Arabidopsis thaliana: one gene and its partners. The protein of the gene in region 3 interacts with the protein of the main gene of each other region in a biochemical or structural test. Each region holds a gene or a part of one and is shown on either strand. Other genes may lie near its edges.

Region 1 (5,117 bases), on a different chromosome or scaffold from region 3:
TTTGATGCTACTTCTCAATCACACTCTTCGGAGGCCATCACCTTCTCTTCTCAAATCTCTTCCACAAGTTGCTAAATCAAATTTCAGCTAAGCCCTCTTCACCAAAATCTTTCCTTTTTCATTATTTACTAAAAAAACAATTCTTTGGCTCACTATGCTACTAGCAAGCTTTCATCGAATCTTGTGTCAATGATGTTGTATGGTTCGAAAAATAAAGTACAAAAACAATTAACAAAAGTTTCATATGAATCCCAGAACTCTGATAACTTTCATTGATAGCTTCGTGTTGTTTGTTTCATTGCCAATAGAAAATCATTGGATAATTCTAGTTTTAGAGTCAATAATTTCTTATACCAATTTGGTTCAGTGGTAAATTTTAGTTCGGTTTTAGTTTAGATACGATTCGGTTAATTCAGTCCGGTTCAAATCCGTAAGCCTTGTGGTTGTGGATAATGTTTCGAGACAGTTTTTTGGCGTTTTGGATATACAAGACTATCCACGTGTCGTAATACTGTAGCTTATCGGTATCCACGTGTCAGTAGCCTACCATCTTCCTTTCTATATAGCCATGGTACAAAATTCTTTGTTCAACTTCACACTACTACTATGGAGAATCCTGGAGGAAGGAGAAGAAGAGACATAGCCATAACCGATGGAGAAAGAACGACCGGTTCTTCGGTTGTGGCTGCAACCGTAGCAGCTGTTGCAGTGGTAGGACCGCTTTTTGGTCTGATGAGTTTCAGCTTTGTGGCGACGGTGACTCTGTTTCTGATCGCTTCTCCATTGCTGCTGATATTTGCTCCAGCTTTTATGGTAACGGTAGCGGTTCTTGTGTCGGCTATGGTTGGTGTTGGGGTAGCTGCAGCCATGTGGATGATGGGAATAGCCGCTTTGGTATGTTGTGGCCGAGAGATTGGTATTGAAACCGGACTGGCTGGGAGGATGGTTGAGTCGGTGGTGAGAGAATTAGGTTACGGTCGGAGTCGTTACTTGCGAGACAAATCAGAGGATAGTTATTCAACTTCTTCTCCTTCTTCTCGGGATTACTCTTCTTCTTAGTTCAAACTTGGAAAAAGTCTCATGATTCATGGGAATTTCAAGAAGATGGTGAATAAAGAAACAAAAAAAAACAGAGACATGGCTATGATAAGAAAACAAAATTAAGTAGATTTTTTCGAGAGTGAAAATTTGTAATATCTATCCAAAGAAAATCTAGTAATGCTATATCATTTTTTTCAAGTTGTGTTTTTTCCCAAGTCAAGACAAATAGCAAACAGATGAAAACCAAAAATAATAGAATAAATAAATTGTAAGTTTCTTTAGGTCAAAACAGATTGTTAAGTTTAATTGATATAATAATTTTCAAAGATAAAATTAATCACAAGTTGTGGGGGATGGATTATCCGAAGTACAATCACCATGTCTATCTGAATTGTTTGAATTATCCAAATCCACATTATCCGGATTATTATCCATATTATCGAAAACATAGTTTTCCAATTTTTTTTTTTTTTTTTTGATAAAATGTGAATTATATTACCAAAAGGAAAGAGGTTATTTACAAAGCTGGGGGCAAGGAGCTTCTATGGCCAAAAAAAAATAAAAAGCCTTAGATAACTATTACAGAGAAACTGAAACTAATTTTCCAATGTTAACAAGATAAATACATATATGTCTGTAAAGTATAATGTATTAATTATCAATTGATTTTGAATTAGAAGTCTAAGAATTTTATAAGTGTCTCTCATCTAATTTTCAAATTCAAAAGTATACTACTATATCTATTCCATAAATATTACTATATATTTACATTTTGATCGATATTCAAGTTTGTAATAATGTGGATTTACCACTACTTGTTTACAACAAAAGATGACACAAGTAGGGTCCTTCGTGATTTAGAACAAAAGGTACAAGTTCGTACGCGAAAAAGGTACTTCTACAAGATTCTGTGCTTTTCACGAATGCTCTCATAGTCTCACTAATGCACACGAACGCTTTCGCAATATTCTCCGTACTTGTCGGTACTTCACGAATACATTCCCTTACAAAATGAAAAAAAAGTTGTCATAACTTTTTAAAAAAAATCGTGTCATAACTTCAATATGATCACAAATTATATTAAAAAAGAGTACAATTTCACTTCATAATCCAAAGGCTAGTTTGTTATCCAAGTCGTTCTACCAATCCCCAAAATGTTTAAAAGTTGGAGTTTGCATAGAGAATATCAGAAGAATTATATAATCTAAGTGTAAATATATGAAGAATATAATTTTATGGGTGAATAATCTGAATGTAAAAGGAGTTGACCAGGCGTTGAGTGGGTGACCTACCGGCTTAAGGGAATCACACGCTCTGTAGCGTTGAATTCTTTAAAGAGTTTAATCAATTCATGCACATCTGATGCTAATTTTTACTATGTTTTCATTTTTGTTAAATCAATTTTATTATATATATACATACATTTCCTTTCTTCTTTTGCAATTTAAAAGCCTTGATTACAAGAAAGTACAAAAATCAAAAGTTTGGCAGTTTTAATTCTTTGGGTGGGGCAATCTTTGATATATATAAGTTTTTTTCATTTCTTAACCAAATTTTCTTTTTTCTCGTTAGTAAATTAAGTAAAGAGTAATCAAATCGATCAAGAGATAAAAACTAGAAAGAAAGAAAGAAGAAATGGGTCGGATTCCATGTTGTGAAAAGGAGAATGTGAAGAGAGGACAATGGACTCCTGAAGAAGACAACAAATTGGCTTCTTATATTGCTCAACATGGTACTCGTAATTGGCGTCTCATCCCTAAGAATGCTGGTAATTTAAATTTTCTCTATATTTTTTTTAATGTTTTATTTAGTCAAGTGATCATTGTAATGTAATATAATGAATCGACAAAATTTGGTCTTTAATAGGGTTGCAAAGATGTGGGAAGAGTTGTAGGCTGCGATGGACAAACTATCTGCGTCCGGATTTGAAACATGGCCAGTTCTCGGAGGCTGAAGAACATATCATTGTCAAGTTTCACTCTGTTCTTGGTAACCGGTATGATCACTACTCACTAGATCTAATTAACTACGGTTTTATGATTTTCTTGAAAAGATTTAATCTAGGTGTATAAATTACAGATGGACTCATAAATATCGGGTTTCTTTACTAAGTTTTTGAAATTTTGATGCTGACTTACTGATGAATTGTTTTTATGAGTTTTTTGACAAGTTTCTTGGGACACAAGAAACTGAATAAGACATAAGTTTTGTTCTATATACCATAATACCAAATCTAAGTATAGGGTTTTAAACTTTTGGGAACTTTTAATTTTCTATAAATTTGTTTTCGACTCATAAATAGAGTTTGATGATGTATTGCTGATGAATAGTCTGGGATTTTTCATGAGAAACAACAGTTAACATCTTTCTTGGGAAACATTTAATAATCTTTTGACATATATGGTTCAGGTGGTCGTTGATTGCGGCGCAACTTCCTGGTCGGACAGACAACGATGTGAAAAATTATTGGAACACGAAGCTGAAGAAGAAGTTGTCAGGAATGGGAATAGATCCGGTGACCCACAAGCCTTTCTCGCATCTAATGGCAGAGATCACCACTACACTTAATCCTCCTCAGGTTTCTCACCTAGCCGAAGCTGCCCTCGGCTGTTTCAAGGACGAGATGCTTCACTTGCTCACCAAGAAACGTGTTGACCTAAACCAAATCAACTTTTCAAACCATAACCCTAACCCAAACAACTTTCACGAGATTGCTGATAATGAAGCTGGTAAGATAAAGATGGATGGTTTGGACCATGGGAATGGGATAATGAAGTTATGGGACATGGGTAATGGATTCTCATATGGATCCTCTTCGTCTTCGTTTGGGAATGAAGAAAGAAATGATGGATCAGCGTCTCCTGCCGTTGCAGCTTGGAGGGGTCACGGAGGAATACGTACCGCGGTAGCTGAAACCGCGGCAGCGGAGGAGGAGGAGAGAAGGAAGCTGAAGGGAGAAGTGGTTGATCAAGAGGAGATTGGATCTGAAGGAGGAAGAGGAGATGGAATGACGATGATGAGGAACCATCATCATCATCAACATGTGTTTAATGTGGATAATGTCTTGTGGGATTTACAAGCTGATGATCTCATCAATCATATGGTTTGATTTTTATTTGGTTCTAAGTTTTTTCCTTTTTCTTTAAGATTTCATTGTTTGGATTTTCATTTTCGATCACATTGGTAGTTAAACATTGGGTATGATTAATTAGGTGCTTTCTGTTTTTACAGAGATTAATAAGTTTTGCTTTGTAAAGCATTTTAATAAATGAAGAAATGTAAATAAAGAGTTTTTATTATTTTCATCTTGAGTATAATAAATAGATAACAGACATACAAAATTACAAACCTTTGATGTTGGCTTCTGCGTTGAAGTCTACAAAATCCCAAAAATGTCATTTCCAATAACTTGCGTATGTGTTTTGAAAGTAATTAAAAACAGAATCTTATTTGTTACTTTATTCTATTATTTTAGTAATAGAAAAATTCATAAATATATCACTTGTTATAAATTGTGGTGGAACAAAAGCAAACAATGGAATCATATACTTTAGAAAAGAAAAGAAAAAAAATGGAATCATAGGGCCTAGTTAAACTATAAAGCACATTGCATATCATTCGGCCCATTAAAGGCCCAAATATTGGCTATATGCGTTTTGGAGGAGAAAATATAGCCGTTAAAGTGAGAAAAGGTCTCTTACTATGTTATCGCAGCAGTAACAACATAACGTAAAAAGAAAACAATCCGACCGTTGTACATATAGCCGTTAAAGAACAACAATTTAAATACCTGAAATTTTGTGAAAGAAAAGGAATTCTTACTAAAAAAACACAACGAACTCAAATCTTCAATCTTCATCTTACTCTCTAATTGCTTTCCTATTCCGATCTCTGTTTCTTCATAAAGTCTCAATCTTTTTTTTCTCTATGGCCGGAACTAAAGATTCTCATGTAGTGGAGATTCCAGTAGATGAAGAGCATAAAGAGAGACAACAACAACAACAGTTGGTTGCGGTCTCAAATCCGGGAATGGGAATACTCAAAGTGATTCAGCAGCATCCGTTGTCTGAAATCTC
Region 2 (7,477 bases), on a different chromosome or scaffold from region 3:
GTCCAACACTCAACTTGCAGTTCCCTAGAGTGAACCATGGTTTAGTTCCCCCATCTAAAACTTCACTGTTTTCGACTATATTGACTCCGAAACCAGGATTCTGCCAAACAAAACAGATTAGTATCCCCATAAGAACCATCAGTCTAGTGTCATTTAGTTTAGTTGGTAAAGGGACTAAACCTCGTAGAAAGGAGGAGGCGATGGACGATTCCTTTTAGCATGTTGAACAACTAAACTGTTGAGAAGAATGTCAGCTCGTGGAGGTGGACCTTCAAGGTATAGTATTACTCTCGATGGCGAACCATGGATTACAAATTTACCCTTCAACTCCACCCAGTTCTTATCTGTTGCTTGAACACTAATATGATTCATTGACATACCAAACTCTATCAGTATAATGAATTTATATCAAGATACTTATGTAATGGAGAAGATGAAAAAAGGTGAAACCTACTTGGCAATGACTATGTATTGTTCACGTTTGTTTGCGTTTAAGACCCAGAGAGTCGCTTGTACTGTTGCACTTGTGACATTGTTGCCAAATATTCGAACTACCGCTGTTACTTCATACACACGCTTCCTCCTGAATCTTCCTGAAATCTCTTGTTGAATCCCATTCCATGTGTCTTTACGCTGCGTTGCTGCTGCGAAAACTTTTCCCGAGAGCGGTACGATCTTCCCACTGTCCATGGATTCGTGTAAGACAATCTTGCACGCTCTTCCAGTCCAGTTGTTTAGGCCATCCTCAAAATTAGGGTTTAAGATGATCTTCTCCTGCTCTTCGTTAGTGTGATTCTGCCAGACGTAAATACAAAATAACTCTAGTTAGCTAGCTTGTAGAAACATTAGCGCACTATTGTTAAGAAGAAGCTTAAATATCGACAACCTTATCATTATTATCATCACTTGTATGGTTCGTATTTGTATTCTTCTCCATAGCAAGTTCCAAGCGAAGAAGATTAAGTACACACAAAAAGAAGATAATTGTTAAAAAGCTTTTGAGGTTTTAGTTTTTTTGGTTGGGTTGAGGAACTTGCTCTGATATATATATATATATAATATATGCTTCTATGTCAAAGACAGAACATAGAGAGTTTCAAGTGAACTCCAAGACAAGCAAGAGCTAGACACAATACTTTGAAAAAAATAACATTATTGATTTTGTGATTTGAAGAAGAAAAAGAGAAACTACAATTGCTTTGTCTTAAACCCAGGAAAGTGTAGTTTGCTTGAATTAAAATAGAAGGCTTCAATTGTTGTCATAGACAACCATGTGAAAGAACGAAAGAATTCAAAGCTGAAGCTCAGGTTTCGTTTTCCTACTTGTGTTTATTAAACCTTACAATGCAAGTAAACCTATTTTTTAAGGTTTCAAAATGGTTTCTATCCTCAGAAGGTTCACATTGATCTAACCAAATTGTTGTACTAGATAAGGTTTAAAAGCTACTTTATATAAAAGAGTCAATAATCAACAATTTGTGATGTAAATTTTGTAAGATTACTCATAAAAGAGTGCATCCAAAACTGATCCAAACTATAAACTCCAAGTTTCAAACAAACTAACAAGGACATGATCAAAAGATAAGAGCAGATTAAAACCAAAAGAAATGACATTTATGGTCAAAATAGTACAAAGCCAACCAAATCAAAAGATAGAAGCAGTCACAAAGTGAAGCCATGCCCATATGAGTAGTGTGTGACATAAGGTCTATTCACTTTTTGATATGGTGACATTGTAGTGAGATTCAGACAATTCTCTATCCTTAAATCTCTAAAGGTCCCAAGGATTTTCTTTTAAATGCAATCTTCCATTGTTCTTTTGTACAGCACAATGAAGCTAAAGAACAACATCGAGGGAAATCGGTGCTTTGTCCTGTACAGAAATAAATTGCATAGACTACTAATCTTCTTTTTTTCTTTGGGGAGGAACAATGGTCTCTCCGTTGAGTTTAGTATTGATCTGCCAAAGCTCGTTTCTTACATTGGCTTTGTACCACACTCAGTAAGAAATCAGTGAATACATGCTCATACTCTGGCATTTTCCCGTACCCTGCGCAAGTTCTTTTGTTCTTAAACCACATGTTTGTGATAGTCTATTGCAAAAAATGTGTGGAAATCAAACTTGCCTGGGAAATAGTTGATGTCGATCACATAAAACCGATCTCTTGTCCCGTGCTCTCTAATTATGTCTAAATTGAACAGCCTTAGACCCTGCAACAAATTAGAGATCAGTAGAGTTTGATATAATACTCCTGCTTGGATATATAGTAGAGAGGACTGAAACATACCAATCCACGACGGAGTTCCTTTGCCAGTCTCTCCAACAGAGGACGTGGTGGAAGCTCTGCAACGAGAATGAGGATATTGTTAGGTCCTCATCAAAGGAAAAATGCAGACGATTTTTACTGATGATGAAGAGGATTTTACCGGCAATGCTCGGGTCCAGATCTGCATCATCAGCTGAAGCTGCAGCACAAGAGACCCGTGGGAAGCGGAATACACCAGCTGATTTGGGGAGTTCTCGTCTAGAGACATCAGGTAGGGAGAAGCGCCGGACAACTCTAATAGCCTCCCCAACAATGTAAACCTTGAAAAGAACACCTCCTGCGAAAGCCAAGCATTTAGATAGGTAATCAAATTATCTAAGTTCTAGTACAGGCAATGATAACCACTAAAATCTCATACCATGGTTAACAAACTCCTGAAGAACAAGAGGAGGCTCGAGCTTCAGAAGGGAGTGTTGATCGTAAGCCAGCGAAAGCTCATGTGACTTTGCACTTCCATCAGCAACCAATGGCTTTGCAACTACGATTTTAAACATCAAATTAAATAATTTACTTATAGATCCATTAATAATGCACAACTAAAACTTCAGCCACCCACCAATTGAACAAACACAGGCCATGGTGGCTTTTGTGATAGACAACAAGATGCCACATGAAGCTAAACGAAAGTCATTAACAGAACATAAGGAGGGAATCATACCAAGAGGTAGTCTCAGACCAGCATTATTGACAGCCTCCGGAATTGAAGATGCATCCTTTTTAATTACCAATTGCTTGGGCACACCAACGCGTCCTGCACAATCAGAGCAACTTCTACTACTCAGATACACAGAACTCTACTAATAAAATCTTTAACCTTAGCGTCCCTAACAGCAAATAGCAAGTGATTACACATGAATATTTACCATTACTATCAGACAGATTCATGTCCGCAACACACTGAAGCATTGACTGACGATTACGGAGATGTAGTATTGCATCTGGAGGATCAAGAACTGTGACATCTGGATGTGCTAGCCTAAATTCCTGAAATTATTAGAAACAGTTATGCTCACACATAGTCTACTTTTCAACACCCAAAAGTGCATCCCTGCTAATGGTCATAAACAGAAAACTTCTATCTCTGTATTGCTGAGATCTCCTGAGATATTGATCTACATTGATATTATTATTAACACAGCGACAGTGTCAGTCTAAAAACTGTATCCCCAACGTTGAACTCTTCACTATCCTGCAACTAAGATTAAGAATTAAACTAATCTACTGATGAAACTTGCACTTTGCAACTAAAGTTTCATTGTAGACACTTTTCTATATCATCAGTATATACTATCTGAAGAGTATAAATCTAGCATTCAACTATACTCAGAAGTTGGCATTCTAATGATTCATAGTCTGATCTCCTGAGATCTGAATAGCTCTAGGATCTAAACACACAGAAACGCCGATTACTTTCTACACCAAACAGCATACTTTCATTTCTATTCTTCTAGCAATTATGAGATGTGAAATGTCTTGTTCCCCAACGAGAAATCAGATGATGGCTCTTATATATGTAGACAAGAGAGCATTACATTCTACTTAAAGATGAAATGATTTTGCATTCAACTATTACCAGGAACATGTAAACCCAATATTCAAAAAACATTACTAGTATCTAACTCTAGAAAACCTGAAGAGGTTACAGTTCTATGCCTCTGGAAGTAGAAATATTCTCACTTGCAGTAGTCTCAACCTCAATTTGTATCAACTAATGACTCACGACAAGGAAAGAGTAAAAGCTCTGGAAAAAAATTTCCATTGAGAAACAAGATTTAGAAATTAAAAGGAACTAGTTGCTAACTTGTGCAATTTACCACCATCTCTCATCTAACAAAGGCTTATATAACATAACTACATCAACATGGTACTCATCACCACAGAATGACAGACATACATGATCTAATAATCTTAGGCTATAGAATGTGCCACAGCAAATACAAAAACGGAAACAATCGTAAGACTAACCTCGAGAATTCGACGCCATTCTTTTCCAATTTGCTGCCAGTACATGTAAAAACAAACACCAAATAAGAATAATCAGGCATCAATGAAAAGAAGCTAAGCAAGAAGACGCAAAACAAGGTTAGTTTCTAACAACCTGAGCAGGGGATGTTCCCAAGACATATCTTCTGACAAACCATAGGCAAAAATAAGATGAATGTATCAGAAAACCAACAGGGTTAACAAAGATCCAATAAAACTAACCTTATGCAACACAATATCAAACGGACCCTGCTCTGAAAGTGGCTTATTCTGATCTATTGCCACAAATAATATCCCCTTATTCCTGCACAAAACACATAACTACAGTAACTAAACTTTATAGTAACACCATTTCATCAATAGAAGGTCAAAGATTCCAAAAGAAAAATCAAACAATTAAATAGTGAAGAGAATATTCTTATGAAAATTAATTTTAAAAAATTGAGAATTTGTTCATTAACAATATGCATGAAAGCAAATGATATCAAAGCGGACTATTTGACACACAAAAAATTCGTGCGGAACCGCTACATATCACTTTTGTAAACAATTTTCCTCTAAATTGGCTCATTTGAGTCCTAAATAATATCAAAGCCGACTATTTGACACAAAAAATTCGTGCCGAACAGGTACATATCACTTTTGTAAACAGTTTTCCTCAAAATTGGCTCGATTAAGTCCTAAATAATATCTGATAGCACAAACAATAAAATTAGGGTTAAAAATCAGAATCACAAACCTAGCTAAACCTTCGAGTTTTGGTTGTAAAAAGCTCTTAATCTTCTTTGATGTAAGAGCGTAACCTACAATAATGGATTTCTTCACCGGAAAAGCTTCGATTACTAACGAACACGGCGACGATGTCTCTTGCTCTGTCGTCTCCATTTCTCGAGTTCCGTTCATGGTGATCTCTTCGTTGTCCGTTAGCTTCATCTTGTGGAAAAATCAACGAAACAATTTTGGGGATTATGGAAGTGGAGAATGCGAGATCGGAGGAAGAAATTTTCTGGGTTTGATGCGTTCACAACGGAGTAAAATTTGGGATTGGTTTTACCGGGTCGGGTTTAGATCCGAATTGTTTTAGTCGGTGCTTGTGATATTTTGGGTGGGTTATGAGAGAGTAGGGAGAGGTCTGAAATATTTATAGCGGCGTGAGGGACATGTGTACACATGTATGTGTCTAACGGTTGTTTTTTTTTTTTTTTTGGTAAAGAAACATGTTTTAATTATGAGAAATGTATATTGCAATTTGAACATATTCTTGGAACTGCACTGTTTTATTTTTGTCTGAGCCAAGCCGATATATAGCTAGTTGTGATTTGTTGTTGTTTAAGAACGTGAATGATCTAGGTTGGAATTTTTTAAAATGTTAGATAGATCGATCTGGTTTGAGTTTGGAGAGTTTATTGTTGGTCGGGATTTGAAATCAATGTATTGACAAGTTTGAGAGACGATTAAATTTTTTAGATATAATTCGCAAAATGAATGTTTTAGGAGAAAATCATGTAGCTAATTTTCTTTCAAATAATATAGTTAGCAAAAAAACAAATTAATATTTTTGTATAATTTTATTAGGTAAAATAATTTTTTATCAATTTATCAAAACTCAACAACTATTTATATGACCAAAACGGTTGTATAAATGATATTAGTGAATGTTTGTGAATAAAACTTAGGTAGAATTTCATTAAAAAGAATATATATTCTATGTATAAAAAGACTTAATAAATTATTTTATTTCAAAAAAGCAGATCTCACATACTTTTAAATTTTAAAATTGGTAACTTTCTTCAAAATTCCTCTTAAAATAGTACGTCTTTCCCTTTATAAACGGCTAAGTTACTACATCACTTTAACTTTGAGCTTTTTGGTCCTCCGAATACGTCCTCACATTCTTAGTGACTTAACTAGAACTCATCTTCCCAACTCATCTTCCCATGCTTTCGAGAAAACTTTGTTTTGGCTTTTTGAGAATTGATGATCTTACCATTTCTTCAAAGAGTCCTATAAGATTCTCAACAAAAAGCCATACTACTTCAACCATTGGTTCTTTGATTTGGAGAGATGCATGTTGTAGATGTGTTTCTTAATACCATGATATCTTGGATTCACATAGAAGTCATCCCCTCCCAACTCTAGATGGAAGAGATCTTTTGCAACTTTGGAAACTCTTGTCACAAACTACTTTCGAGTATTCGAGCAGTTAATGCTCCGGTTTCAAGAATCTAAATTACAATTTGAGTAGATGCATTATCCCTTAAGGTTTAGGAAGAATACACAAATCTCAACTAGTGAGACTGTGTGGATCTCTTTAACGTATTAGAAACTCTACTTATGATGTTCTAAATGGCATAATATTTTTCATGAAGATGATTCTTGCTCCTTCAAGTGAGAGTCTCATAGTGAAGGTCGCATTACTAGAAAGTCCCTATTGTGCACCGCAAGGATTTGTTCACGAAGTTATAGATTAGCTGGACTATTACTCTTTCCCGATTTACAATGATACCCATATACGTACACATTCCTCGTGTTAGAGACCATATCTTGCCCCATCACCACCCGAGCCAATCATCCCTTCTAGAGATTATCGATCTTAAAACGCAGATGGTAAACTGCCTCTAAATATTGGGGAAGCGTAGAGACGAATGAATTTTAAACCTCATACTTTTTTGTCTTCATTCTCGAACGAAATAACATTAGATCCCTAATAGTGCTTGAGATGGTGTTAGGGATTATTCGGATGAAGATTAGGAGAGAAAATCATCATGATGAAACATAGCTCTCTCATTGGGAGACTTCTCCACACCCTCAAAAGAGTAAAAGTTTGATACCATTAAAGCTTGTGAAACGAACATTAACAACCATAATGAAAAAAGCAGATAAAATATTTTAATTTTCATTGAAAATTTTGAAAAATATGAAAATAATTCAATCGAGTACTATGCATATTTTTAATAATCAAGAGAATCAGCTAAGATATAAAGCATTAATCAAATGTAATCTCATCTAATAAATTATCGAATCAATGGTTTAATTAAAGATTTTCGAAAATAAATCAAATCTAAATGATTACAATCTCTCCTTAAGATCACATTTGAATAGTGTTTCATATTAAATCAATCAACAAACGATGTATAGAAAACTAGTTATTGTTCTTAAAATTAATT
Region 3 (5,793 bases):
TGCTTTTAAATGTATTGTTCTTTGGGATTTACAATTTTCAATAACTCTAAACCAATTATATTCAATAATTTGTATTGAAGTTTACAATTTCTCAATTATAACTAATAACTATTGCATTGAAAACCTAAAAAATCAATCTTTTAGAAACAATTTTTTTTTCTAAAAAATCAAACAAAAAGGAACATAGGGAGTACTATTCTATTTTTCTATGATGATATGTATAGAATTTGGTATCACTATTCATTTTTTAAGAAATTCGTATCCGATTTTTAAAATTCAAATCATATTAGATACACAAAAAAAATCTGTTTTTTTAATAGTATTATTAATTTAACCAATTAATATTGTTAACATAATATAGTAAACAATATTAAAAAGGGTGAACATATTTTAATCATATTTCTCTTTTCTCTTCTCAACATAACTTAAACTTTTATTGTTCCTTAAAAGACCACGTCAGCATAATTCACTACACTTCTGTTTTCTTCACGCGCCTTAAACATGAATGAAAGAGTTGGGTGAAGGAGTGTGTGGTGAAAGAGTGTGTTGTCATTACACACACCTCATGTGTTACTCTCTGAATTCGGCAACTTATGGTGCTAGATATTTAATTTCTTTTCAGGAATTGGTTATTTAGCTAATTCACCTTTGAAATAAATACACTTATAAAATAAAGTATTTTTAAAACACACTAGTCTTCATATTGGAACTGAAAAAAATAGCACACTTCCTTAGATCATTATTTATAAGATTACTAATATATTCTGAAATTGTTTTGGTAGTACTAAAAAGAACGAAAAATATGAAGTGACACATTATCCAATCTTCCCTTATAATGAATTGAAAACATGTTTGGCGGCTTTTTAAAGGTAGGATAAAAACTAGAGAAAATAACATCTATACTTTTATTAGTTTATACTTTATAGTATGAGAGTATCTAAACTATAAAAAATTATTTCGTGTGGCTAGCAAGTGGGCAATGGCAAAGCTATACAAAATACAAGAGTTGGCCTGAAAATCAGTAGTAAAACTCATCAACTCAAAGATAATGTAACAAAAACAAGCCTTAACTTACTTAGTAACAAACAGTCACATTTACAAAGTGGTAAAGATACTGAGAGCCACTTTTCAAACTCTGTTACTACTACTCACTCACTGCAACTAAATCAAACCAGACGAGATCAAAGCACCGGGCTTTTTATCGATCTGTTCCCGCGTTTGTGGACTCGCTATATATAACATAACATCAAAGCTGCATTTTAGAAAGCAAAAAAAAAAAAAACTGGAAAAAGCTTACTCTTAATGATCATTGATGTTGATTTAGGCATTTGAGATTTCAGCTTCAGGGTGGTAATAAAGCATCTCATTCCACATCATCTCTCTTATCACTGGTTCCTCCATGTTTTCATCTATGTCCAGAGAGATTGGGACATGTGCAGGCGGATTGGATCCAGGATCAAACAACCCCGCCATATACGGGTGTAAGAGCGCATCGGTTACAGAGATTCTCTTGGTTGGATCAAACACAAGCATCCTCTGTAACAAATCTATAGCTAGAGGATTGGCTTGTGGATAAAGATTGGAGAGATGAGTTCCTCTTGAGTACGGAAGAGACTTTATAAACCTTCGAGCTTTCGGGTTGTCTATGAACCGAATATCAGATTCTTGTTGGCTACCAACAACGTTGATGATTAGCTTAAGCTGATTCAAGCATTCTGTTCCTGGAAAAATCGGTTTCCTACCAAGAATCTCCGCGAATATGCAACCAACCGACCATACATCAATGGAGGTTCCATAGTTATCACAACAAAGAAGAAGCTCAGGTGCTCTGTACCAACGTGTAACCACATACTCAGTCATGAACTGTTCATTACCTTGGCTCGTTCTCGCCAACCCGAAATCACAAATCTTGAGATCGCAGTTCGCATTAACTAAGAGGTTCCCGGGCTTCAAATCCCGGTGAAGTATGTTTGCAGAATGAAGATACTTCAACCCTCTAAGCAACTAAACACAACAACAAGAACAAGACTTATTTCAATAACTAAACATACAAAACTCGAAACATAGAGTTACCGAGGAAGGACTTAAAGTTACCTGAAACAAGAAGTACTTGCAGTGATCATCAGAAAGAGACTGAGAGGATTTAATAATCTGATGAAGATCAGTATCCATTAGCTCATAAACCAAATAAACATCCTTGAAACTGGATCTATTAGCAGGCAACATAACATCTTTAAGCGCGATCACATTCTCATGCCTCACATGCCTAAGAAGTTTAAGTTCCCTCAACGTTCTCAAAGCATCAACACGATTCTCAAACACATTGTGAATCTTTTTAATAGCAACTCTCTCATTAGTCTCACGATTGATAGAAGAACAAACCACACCATAAGCTCCTCTTCCAATGGGTTTAATCGGAACATACTTTGTATCGATTTCGAACAATGTTTGCCACATGGAGTAGTAATGTTTCCCTTGTTGCTTAATCCCATTTGGTGGCTCAACTAACATCGCCATTTTCTCTCTGCAAAAACCAAAACTTTCAGTATTTTTCCCCTAAATTGGTAAGATTTTGGAAAAGGGTTTATAGAGAATTTTCGATTTATGAATCATTGAAGCTTTTTTCTCCTTTACGTCTCCAAAAAGTGAAATTCAACTAAGAAAAATTCTCTTTTTAATATCGTTTCCTTTACTTAGCTATCAATCTTACTACTCCATAAGAAAAAAGCAAACTTTGGTTATAAAAATTCTCTTTTTAATATGATAACTCTTGATTAATCATAATCAAAACTCAAAAATTAAGAGTTAAAACAAGCTAAATGAATAAAGAGAAGAAACAGAACAAGAGATCGAACATACCCAATAACTGAATTTACAGAACCCGAGTCGTTGTTGTTGTTGTTAATGATCAGAGATGAAAGAAGAGAAGGGTATGATTGGATCTGAATTGAGATTGCTTCTTCATAGCTAAAACAAGAAGAGATAAGAGAGAGAAGAGTTAGGAAGTGGTGAGACCCATACGGGGAATGGAATGTTAGGGGAAGAGGAAGAAGAAGAAGAAGAAAGGAAGCAAAATACGTTGGTTGATGAAGAAGCTTTGGTTACTTCTTTTCGTTTTTTAGGAAAAAAACAAATTACAAAGTCTTCTAATTACGAAAACGACATTCTTTTTAGATTAGATATTTTTTGTGTAACAAAACTTCAGTTACAAACTATCTTTAATTAAAAAATCTCTAAAGTTTAATGGACTCTTCATGTTTTTTTTTTGCATACAAATCAGGATTGTTATTACTATATTTGGTAATTAGAAAAAAATAATGCATAGGAATTTTTGTAATTAATTAAAAAGATTGAGTAAGATATTTATTAAGTAGAATTTGTCTTGGTATAATATACGTACACGAATACAGAAATTGAGGATTTAAATGGATCAAGTAACCGGCTAAGCACGTGGGTGGACTGAAAAAGTGACACGTGGTAAACGTAGATTGGGAGCAACTTCTTGTTGTTGTCCGAACCGAAGTTTCCACTGGGTGTAGTTAAACCTAACTTAAAAGCCTCAAAAAGTGGTCAACTACAAAACCACTCTTGGTTTGAAGACCTTCTGTCTCTTTCGGAGAGGTTTGAGGATTAGATTAAAAAAAGGATAAGTGTGGCTGATGGATTTAACATCAGATGATGACATAACTAATTTGAGTGGCAAATGGTTGAGTAAACCTATCAGTTGACGAACGCAGATTATCAATCAACTTTGAGTTTCTCCATAGATCTTCGAAGATTCTGTCTCTCCAAACCATCAAGCCCCAATTCATCTTCAACCCTAGTAATTTAGTTTATATAAAGTGTACTTGAATTTTATACGTTGATGTTAAAAATGTTTGCACACTAATCTTTTGTACAAAACTACTTTACAAAATATATTTCTTATAAATTCATTGTTTTCTTTTGTACAAATCAAACATGATCTCGCATATGATGCGGATAAGTGGTAACATCTAAGGATGATATATATATACAGAGACATAACAAAATTCTTTCTTTGGAGATTCTCTTAATTTTAATGTGACTGTAAGATTTAAGTTAATGACATGAGTGCATTGGCCACCTCTAACTCCACTAGAGGCTTCTTCTTCCTCATGTTCCTCACTTACCAAGTGAACTGCACATGGAGATAAAAAGTAAAACAGAACACCATTTTAAACACCAAAACAAAAATTAGTTAAGTAGGCATTGATTTGAAAGCGGACCAGCTTCTTCTTCTTCTTCTTTCTCTCAACGTATGCCACAAGGTCCTCTTGTCGGGTAAGAGAATCATCAAGAGCCTGTGAAGATACAACAACTCTTTAGTGTGAGATAGTGAAAGCTGAGAACAAATCAGTAATATATATGAAAGTTTTTTTTGTTTTGTGTTACCTTCTTGGTTGCAGCAAGTTCTTGTTCCAAGAAATCGGCTCGGCTAATGGCAGCATTAAGCATCTCTTCCTTTTCAGGAGGCATAGTTGCTGGCTGTGCACTCAAGTTTGTGACTTTCTGCTCAAGCTCAGCCATTCGTTTCATGACCGCCATGAAATCTTCCCCTGAGATGGTTGTTGTTGCCATTTTCTTCCCATGCATCGAGCTCTTGTTCATCGAGTTTTCGTCGCAGTAAACCGGGCTAGAGTATATAGTTGACTCGGTTAGCTTCCTTGGAACGTTTTTAGTCACTCTAATCATGGTGACTACACCCATTACAAAAGCCATGACTCCAGTGAAAATAGGAGACCTTCCACTTTCATTTGTAGCTTTGCAAGCTTCTTGAATGGCGTAAACATCCCCTGTTCAAAAACAGAGAAGTACTTAAATTCAAGTTCTTTTAAAAAGGAGTAGTATTTGTCTCTTTAGTAGTGTAATTTGCACATGATCTCTTATACTTTTTGAGAGGGAAAATTTGTGAGCTTCTGGTATGTTCCAAGCTGGATGAGCAACCACGACCTGAGATGTGGGAAGAAATATAAGGAGAATACAAGCCTCATGAAGGAAAATAGTGTCATTCTTACATTTTGACAAGGAGAGGGCTGTGACTGGTCAGTTTCAGGAGCTTCCTCAACTGCAGAGTTATTCCCCTGAGAGATAATATTCTCTCCAGCATTATCAGCTTGAGATCTCTTTGAGCATATGTGGTCACCATTATTAACTCTCTGTTAGGTTTACGGTGACAATCATCTTAGTTTTCATATAGAAAGAAAGAAACTAACTATGAGTGTTGTTGTTGCTTTACTAGATCAAAGAAGTTGTAGAAAACAAACCTTCATAATATCTGGATTGTTCCATGGTCCTTTGTCCGAGCGCATGCAACCCCCATTGTCAGCACAAGTACAAGAACCTCCCAAGAACTCAGGCAGCTCACTGATACAAAGAAAAATGAGAAGTCTGTCATTCGAGAAATACTAATCTTTTGAGTGTTCATGCAGAAACTTTTTGCAGAGCTCACCTAGCATCAATTATTTCAAGCAACTTGCTTTGGTACTTGTTGCCAAGAACCTGAATATCAAATTAGCTAAGTAGTAAGAATATCTCTCATTTATATCAGTCAAGAGTGATAAAAAGGGTTTGTATACTTGCATGGATCTTTGCTGTAGTCTTTGGGTCAAGGAAAGACTTAACCGTGTTCCACAACATCCTGAATCCTGAGCCAGCATTGATGATAAACATCCTGTTCAAGGTCTGAGCCAATGACAGATAAATGAAAAAAAAAAGTTGAGAGAGCAAGAATCATTCATAAAAGATAAACCAATGATGATAATAATATAAAGT
Region 4 (5,443 bases), 8.1 Mb from region 3:
ATACACAGATGAGTGTATAATATGGTCAGCGGGTCAGGATATGTAACTTTTGTTTGATTATGGGTTTGAAAATGTGCAAATAGACAGACATTACTTCAACTAATTGAGAATAATGTTGGATCCGTATTTGTAGGAATAAAAAATAACTGTTAATTAGAGGTTGACTTCACAGTTCACAAGTCGGGTTCGGGTGTACAAGAATCTTGTCAGGTCACACCTAACTCTTATGATCGTCTCTTAGTTTTTTTTTTCTTTTTTTTTCACAGGCTTAATGGACCCTTTTGTCTAATTTGATGGCATATCTCACAAACCATCCAGTTCCATGTTTTTATAAACATGCTTTTTAAACCTTTAAAATGAAGGACACAAATTAGGATTCTCGGTGCAAAATTGCATGTGGACGTGTAGAAGCAGAAGGAAGATGGAAATTAAGTGTAAAGAAGAAAGGAGTGGTGACGAGAAGCTTGTGAAGGATCGATGGCAAGTCTCTTTACACGTGGGGGGAATGACAAAGTTCTTCTTTTTTCTACTTCATCAAAGCTTACAATTTCCTCTCCTCAACAACTTTTTTTGTTTTTTTTGGTAGGGAACAACTTTTTTTGTTTGGCTAGCAGAATTTTATTTACTAACTGGAAAATATGAACTTAAGCCTATAGTTTAATCTCATGAACTCATAATCTCCATTTAATTCTGCAACGAAGTTTTATTGGATGGCATGTACCCGAATCTATAGTAGATATATACAACTGGAAAACAGTATTGTATATTGTTTTCGTGATGCACCAAAAACTTATGATTGAAATTTACGTAGAAATAAAACAGTACAATTTGTTAGACATGTTAATAGAACTGATCTTGTGAGTGCTCATATTTCTTGGAATTCCAAGAGGACTTCGAAAGCATAATTGGATCTAAAATATATTATATCATAAGCATATATACGTGAGAATGTATTTATCTTATTGTTTTCATAATAGAAGTGGTAAAGGTAAATATTCAAACTAATTGTCGAAATATGCGGAAGAGGTAGTATTCAATGGCTTACGATGACTAAAATCGTAATTACAAAAATCACCATAAACTCGTCTAAAAAGACTTTCTTTGCAATTAAAATTAAACCATATAGGACTTCGATTTATACGGTGTCAAATTTTATAACTATGTATGTTAATATTACATATTTTTGGAACGAACGATGTAAAAAAACGGCTCAACTAACAACGCTATTCATCGCTTCACGGGGTCGGATGTGTAACGTAAACCAAGCAAGGACCACTTTACACATAAACTAATTCTCTCATACGAATCTACAAAAATACATATAAAGATAATATATAATTTTGGGGTAAGAGAGGAGCATTGTCCCGTGATTCTCGTCGAACAAAAAACAGAAAAAGAAAGAAAGAAAGAGGTATGTGTGATGATGTGGTCTACATCAAAGACAGCTGAGCAGTCACACGCCTTGTAATCGTAATTTATTCGTCTATCTACCACTCTCGCTCTTCCATTTTTTGCCTTTAGCATTCAATTCCACGCAAAACCCTAAACCTCATAATCTCATCAAAAAGTTTTAAAGATAAATATATATGAATCTACCCATTAATCAATATATTAGTTAGTATTGTGATTTATCACTTTCTAAATACTAAAAAGTACTCAGAAGATTAGAAGGTTGATTTTAAAAATAAATTTTCTAACTAATTTGATCGCTATATCAATAGAAATGAGAGGATTTAAAATCCATCAAGTATAGTTCACTTCGATAAATTAATATTTTGTATAAATTGATTCATGTCACGTACTGGATCTTTTAAATCGTTGAGGATCAAAAATTATTTTGCAACAAAAAGAAAAACAGAAGGAAAAGAAAGTTTAGTTAACATTAATTTTAAACCAAATGTCTTAAGAAAAAGACAATGATCTCGATCATCAATGATCCTAATTCCGACAAAACTACTCTGAGGTATATTATAATTTTGTGAATTCGATTTTGTATTTAATTATTTTTCCTGGAAACTGCATCACGGTATCAAAAAATTTAAAATTCTTCATTTTTTTGTTTTCTTCTAAACTCAAATAACGTCTCAACTATACTAATATCTTTCTTATTTTCTTATAATTATTAATTTTTTTTTTTTTTTTTTTTTTGTTGTTGTTGTAAATAGTCTTACTTATACTAACTAATTCATTCATAGACTGTTAGTCCCGATACATGAATTTTATCTATATCGATCTTTGTAATCGAAATGTTTGTTTGACGAACTAAGGCAATCTAAGACTACTAAGAATATGCTATATATAGAGCCTAATTTCTATCACACTCATCTTAGCCTTTGGTGAACAATAATATAGAATAAGTGTTACTTGTAATTTGTTGGCATGTTAAGGGTATAAACAACAATTTATCTCATTTATAGGAGTAATAGTTTTCTCCCTCCATGGTTGATATTAATATGCATCCACATATTAAAATATACAACTATTTATATATAGAGCTGTCTATAGTAGAAAAGGGCCGAAATCAATTAGCTGTGAACAGAAAAGAAAACTTTTTAACATATGCAACAAGATTTAGGTGAGGGTTTGTCTACATGTTCCGGGAAGAGAGAGAGAGAGAATCAGAAGTGTATCTTGATCTAGGGTTCACAGACAAAATCTCCATGCTTTGAACTAAGCAGAATTCATCTGGTCTTTTATCTCTTTCATATCAAACCAAAGGATTGATCTATCCATATCGTCCAAAACCTATATCTAGCTAAGCCTAGAACTTCTCTATCGTTTACCACTTTCTTTCTATATTTCTTCTGAATTTGTAACATCAGAAGTAATAATGATTCCAAGTATGGAGGGAGGCGGGAAGACTAACAGAGAAGAAGAGGAGGAGGAAGAGGAAGAAGAAGAAGAAGGTGAAGAGAGTAAGGTTTCAAGCAATAGTACAGTGGAAGAGAGCGACAAGAAGACTAAGGTTAGGCCTTATGTGAGATCTAAAGTCCCTCGACTCCGGTGGACTCCTGATCTTCATCTTCGCTTTGTCCGCGCCGTTGAGAGGCTTGGAGGTCAAGAAAGTACGTCCATAGCTACTAACTTCATCTTTCATCACCTCCTCCACATATATATAAAAGCATAAGCAATTTCTTAGTTATTCTTAGGTTAACTATTTGGTCAAAACCTCATGTGATTTTCTTTTTTTTAATGTGTATGTTTGGTTATGTATAGGAGCAACTCCAAAGTTGGTTCGTCAGATGATGAACATCAAAGGGCTTAGTATTGCTCATGTCAAGAGCCATCTACAGGTATTTGATCTACATACATCTAAAACGTACCTATATATGTGTTGTATTTTCGATTTCGTTTCAAATAATCTCTGAAATTAGAAAAAAAAAGAAATCACTAAATTGTGTATTGGAAAATTTTAGATGTACAGAAGCAAGAAGATAGATGATCAAGGTCAAGGTATTGATTCTTTCTATTTGTGTTCATTAGTTAGTTATCAAGTTATACATGTATAGGCCAATAAAGTGGGGTTTGAATTGTTGGCAGCTATAGCTGGTCACAAACATCTCTTCGAGACTTCCACAGATCGAAATATTTATAAACTAAGTCAGCTACCGATGTTCCGAGGCTATAATCATAACCATGATTCTCCATTCAGGTTGATATAACTTTTTTTTTTGAAAATTTTAGATTTTATGTGTTCCTTAATTTGAATGATATTCCGTTTTAATTATATTTATTCGGAAACTAAATTAATTGTCTTCTTTTGTTTTTGGTAGATATGGAAGTAAAATTTCAAATGCTTCTTTGTGGAACTCTAGCTCTCAAGGAACAGAAAGGAGTTTGATAGACCAAATTAGGCCCGGTTTAATCCGCAACGCGTCGGTTAGCAATAACATCCGTGGTAGTGATTATTGGACTAACAACAAGTCTTTCCAAAACATCTACTCTTCTTCAATTTCTAATCACTTTCCGAAACTACGACACGATCATCACGAACGGACCAATTCAGTCACATTCAACAGCATTCAAGGACACTCAAGAACTTTTCAAAAGTTCCATAACGGTGTTGAGGAGAACACTAATCATTCTTATTGTAGCAAGACAAATGGCAAAAGAGACGCAAGTAGGAGCATTGATCTTGATCTATCTCTTAAGCTAAGACAACCGGAGAAGACAATTTTGGAAGAGACAGAAACAGCAGCAACAACAACGGATCAAACGTTGTCCTTGTCGCTATGTCCAGGGTCGTCTTCGTGGAAAAAGAGCCGACTGATGAAAGATGAAGAGGATCGGACGGTTAAGATTGGTCAGGAGAGTACTCTGGATCTGACTCTATGAATTATATTTAAGAATGAGACAAATTCTAAGTGAGATCTTGAGGTACTTACCGATATCTTAATATTCAGTGTCGTTGTTGTTTATCATTAATCATGTATTTTCTTTATTATTAGAAAGGAAACAAAAATGTTTGATTATATTAACGGTCTTGAGTTTGTTTGATACCGCCAATTTGTATCATCACATATATAAACAAATATTACTAGCCACATCATAATGATTCGATCTTTTGTCTTCTCATAGCAATATACTATATGAAAATTACATATACATATAACAACAAATTTACATCGATTAGAGTATCTCTGCTGGTGAGCTTCATTCATTTGTAGATGAGACTTTTACGTAAATAGTACAAAAATTTTGGTTTCGTATTTATCCGAACAGTACATGGACAATTTTGTAGTTCCAAAACATGTTATAGTTAATAGTAGTGTTTTCAATAATTTCCAAAATCCATCTTCACTCATTTTTCCCTTTTCAGAGACATAGTGAAACAATTTTACACTATGCAAATCCGAAGCCAATTATTTTTGAGGTTTTTACTATATGTGAACAAGATTAATACTTAAACAACAAGACACACCTCGTTCTTTGTAAATATTAAAGAGGTTAAAGATCATAATACAAAAAAAAACATAGAAAAAGTTCACAAATCATCAAATCTTTTGAGTTCATTATTCTATATAAAATTTTATCTCGTGAAATGTTTATTGTATAAGGATGTGATTAGTTGCAAACCAAAAATTAATGTTTAATAGTATTTGATAGGGAACTTATTTCAACTGTGTAAAATTTTCCCGGTAAAATTTTCGTTCAATCAGTCGATTCTAAGAACATGAATCTTATTGAATCTCTAATAATTTATTGTATAATATGGTGGCACCTATACGTCAATACGATAATGACGTCGTTAATAGTAACGTTGAGAGTTGAGACTGTTGTATAATTTTGATTCGACGTGCCAAATACTACGTTCGACCAAGTATCAATTTTGATTTTCCAAAAAGAAAAAACAAGAAACTTAGGATCTCCGTTAGTTTGATTGGATACACTGATACTGTTTCGATATTTAGACAAACAAATGGAATCTTTGCTTCTTAAACAT

The links.
Region 1: of the proteins of MPK7 (region 3) and MYB80, one has a biochemical effect on the other in vitro, tested with the Arabidopsis thaliana proteins (one large-scale study listed by BioGRID).
Region 2: of the proteins of MPK7 (region 3) and AT4G08170, one has a biochemical effect on the other in vitro, tested with the Arabidopsis thaliana proteins (one large-scale study listed by BioGRID).
Region 4: of the proteins of MPK7 (region 3) and AT2G38300, one has a biochemical effect on the other in vitro, tested with the Arabidopsis thaliana proteins (one large-scale study listed by BioGRID).

The regions. Positions count from the first base shown.
Region 1 is NC_003076.8:22,716,515-22,721,631, forward strand, and holds MYB80 (myb domain protein 103), read left to right. Parts: upstream 1-2,676; coding exon 2,677-2,809; intron 2,810-2,907; coding exon 2,908-3,037; intron 3,038-3,450; coding exon 3,451-4,150; downstream 4,151-5,117. Other genes in the region: COX15 (cytochrome c oxidase 15), read left to right, coding at 1-91; AT5G56100 (glycine-rich protein / oleosin), read left to right, coding at 607-1,059; AT5G56120 (RNA polymerase II elongation factor), read left to right, coding at 4,969-5,117. UniProt on the Arabidopsis thaliana protein: Transcription factor that binds to the DNA sequence 5'-CCAACC-3'. Regulates directly PME5, UND and GLOX1. Essential for tapetum development in anthers and microsporogenesis.
Region 2 is NC_003075.7:5,161,758-5,169,234, forward strand, and holds AT4G08170 (Inositol 1,3,4-trisphosphate 5/6-kinase family protein), read right to left. Parts: upstream 5,436-7,477; 5' UTR 5,244-5,435; coding exon 5,050-5,243; intron 4,615-5,049; coding exon 4,533-4,614; exon of another isoform or gene 4,338-4,532; coding exon of another isoform or gene 4,326-4,337; coding exon 4,293-4,325; exon of another isoform or gene 3,312-4,292; coding exon 3,191-3,311; intron 3,079-3,190; coding exon 2,986-3,078; intron 2,806-2,985; coding exon 2,686-2,805; intron 2,605-2,685; coding exon 2,428-2,604; intron 2,345-2,427; coding exon 2,289-2,344; intron 2,212-2,288; coding exon 2,127-2,211; intron 2,051-2,126; coding exon 1,950-2,050; 3' UTR 1,463-1,949; downstream 1-1,462. Other genes in the region: AT4G08160 (glycosyl hydrolase family 10 protein / carbohydrate-binding domain-containing protein), read right to left, coding at 1-100, 181-358, 455-795, 887-937. UniProt on the Arabidopsis thaliana protein: Kinase that can phosphorylate various inositol polyphosphate such as Ins(3,4,5,6)P4 or Ins(1,3,4)P3. Phosphorylates Ins(3,4,5,6)P4 to form InsP5.
Region 3 is NC_003071.7:7,906,858-7,912,650, forward strand, and holds MPK7 (MAP kinase 7), read right to left. Parts: upstream 3,184-5,793; 5' UTR 2,860-3,183; intron 2,525-2,859; 5' UTR 2,518-2,524; coding exon 2,095-2,517; intron 2,005-2,094; coding exon 1,321-2,004; 3' UTR 917-1,320; downstream 1-916. Other genes in the region: AT2G18180 (Sec14p-like phosphatidylinositol transfer family protein), read right to left, coding at 4,197-4,322, 4,414-4,814, 4,911-4,971, 5,037-5,177, 5,286-5,385, 5,471-5,520, 5,602-5,703. UniProt on the Arabidopsis thaliana protein: MKK3-MPK7 module acts as a positive regulator of PR1 gene expression.
Region 4 is NC_003071.7:16,043,067-16,048,509, reverse strand, and holds AT2G38300 (myb-like HTH transcriptional regulator family protein), read left to right. Parts: upstream 1-2,494; 5' UTR 2,495-2,830; coding exon 2,831-3,065; intron 3,066-3,216; coding exon 3,217-3,293; intron 3,294-3,416; coding exon 3,417-3,453; intron 3,454-3,540; coding exon 3,541-3,652; intron 3,653-3,773; coding exon 3,774-4,335; 3' UTR 4,336-4,562; downstream 4,563-5,443.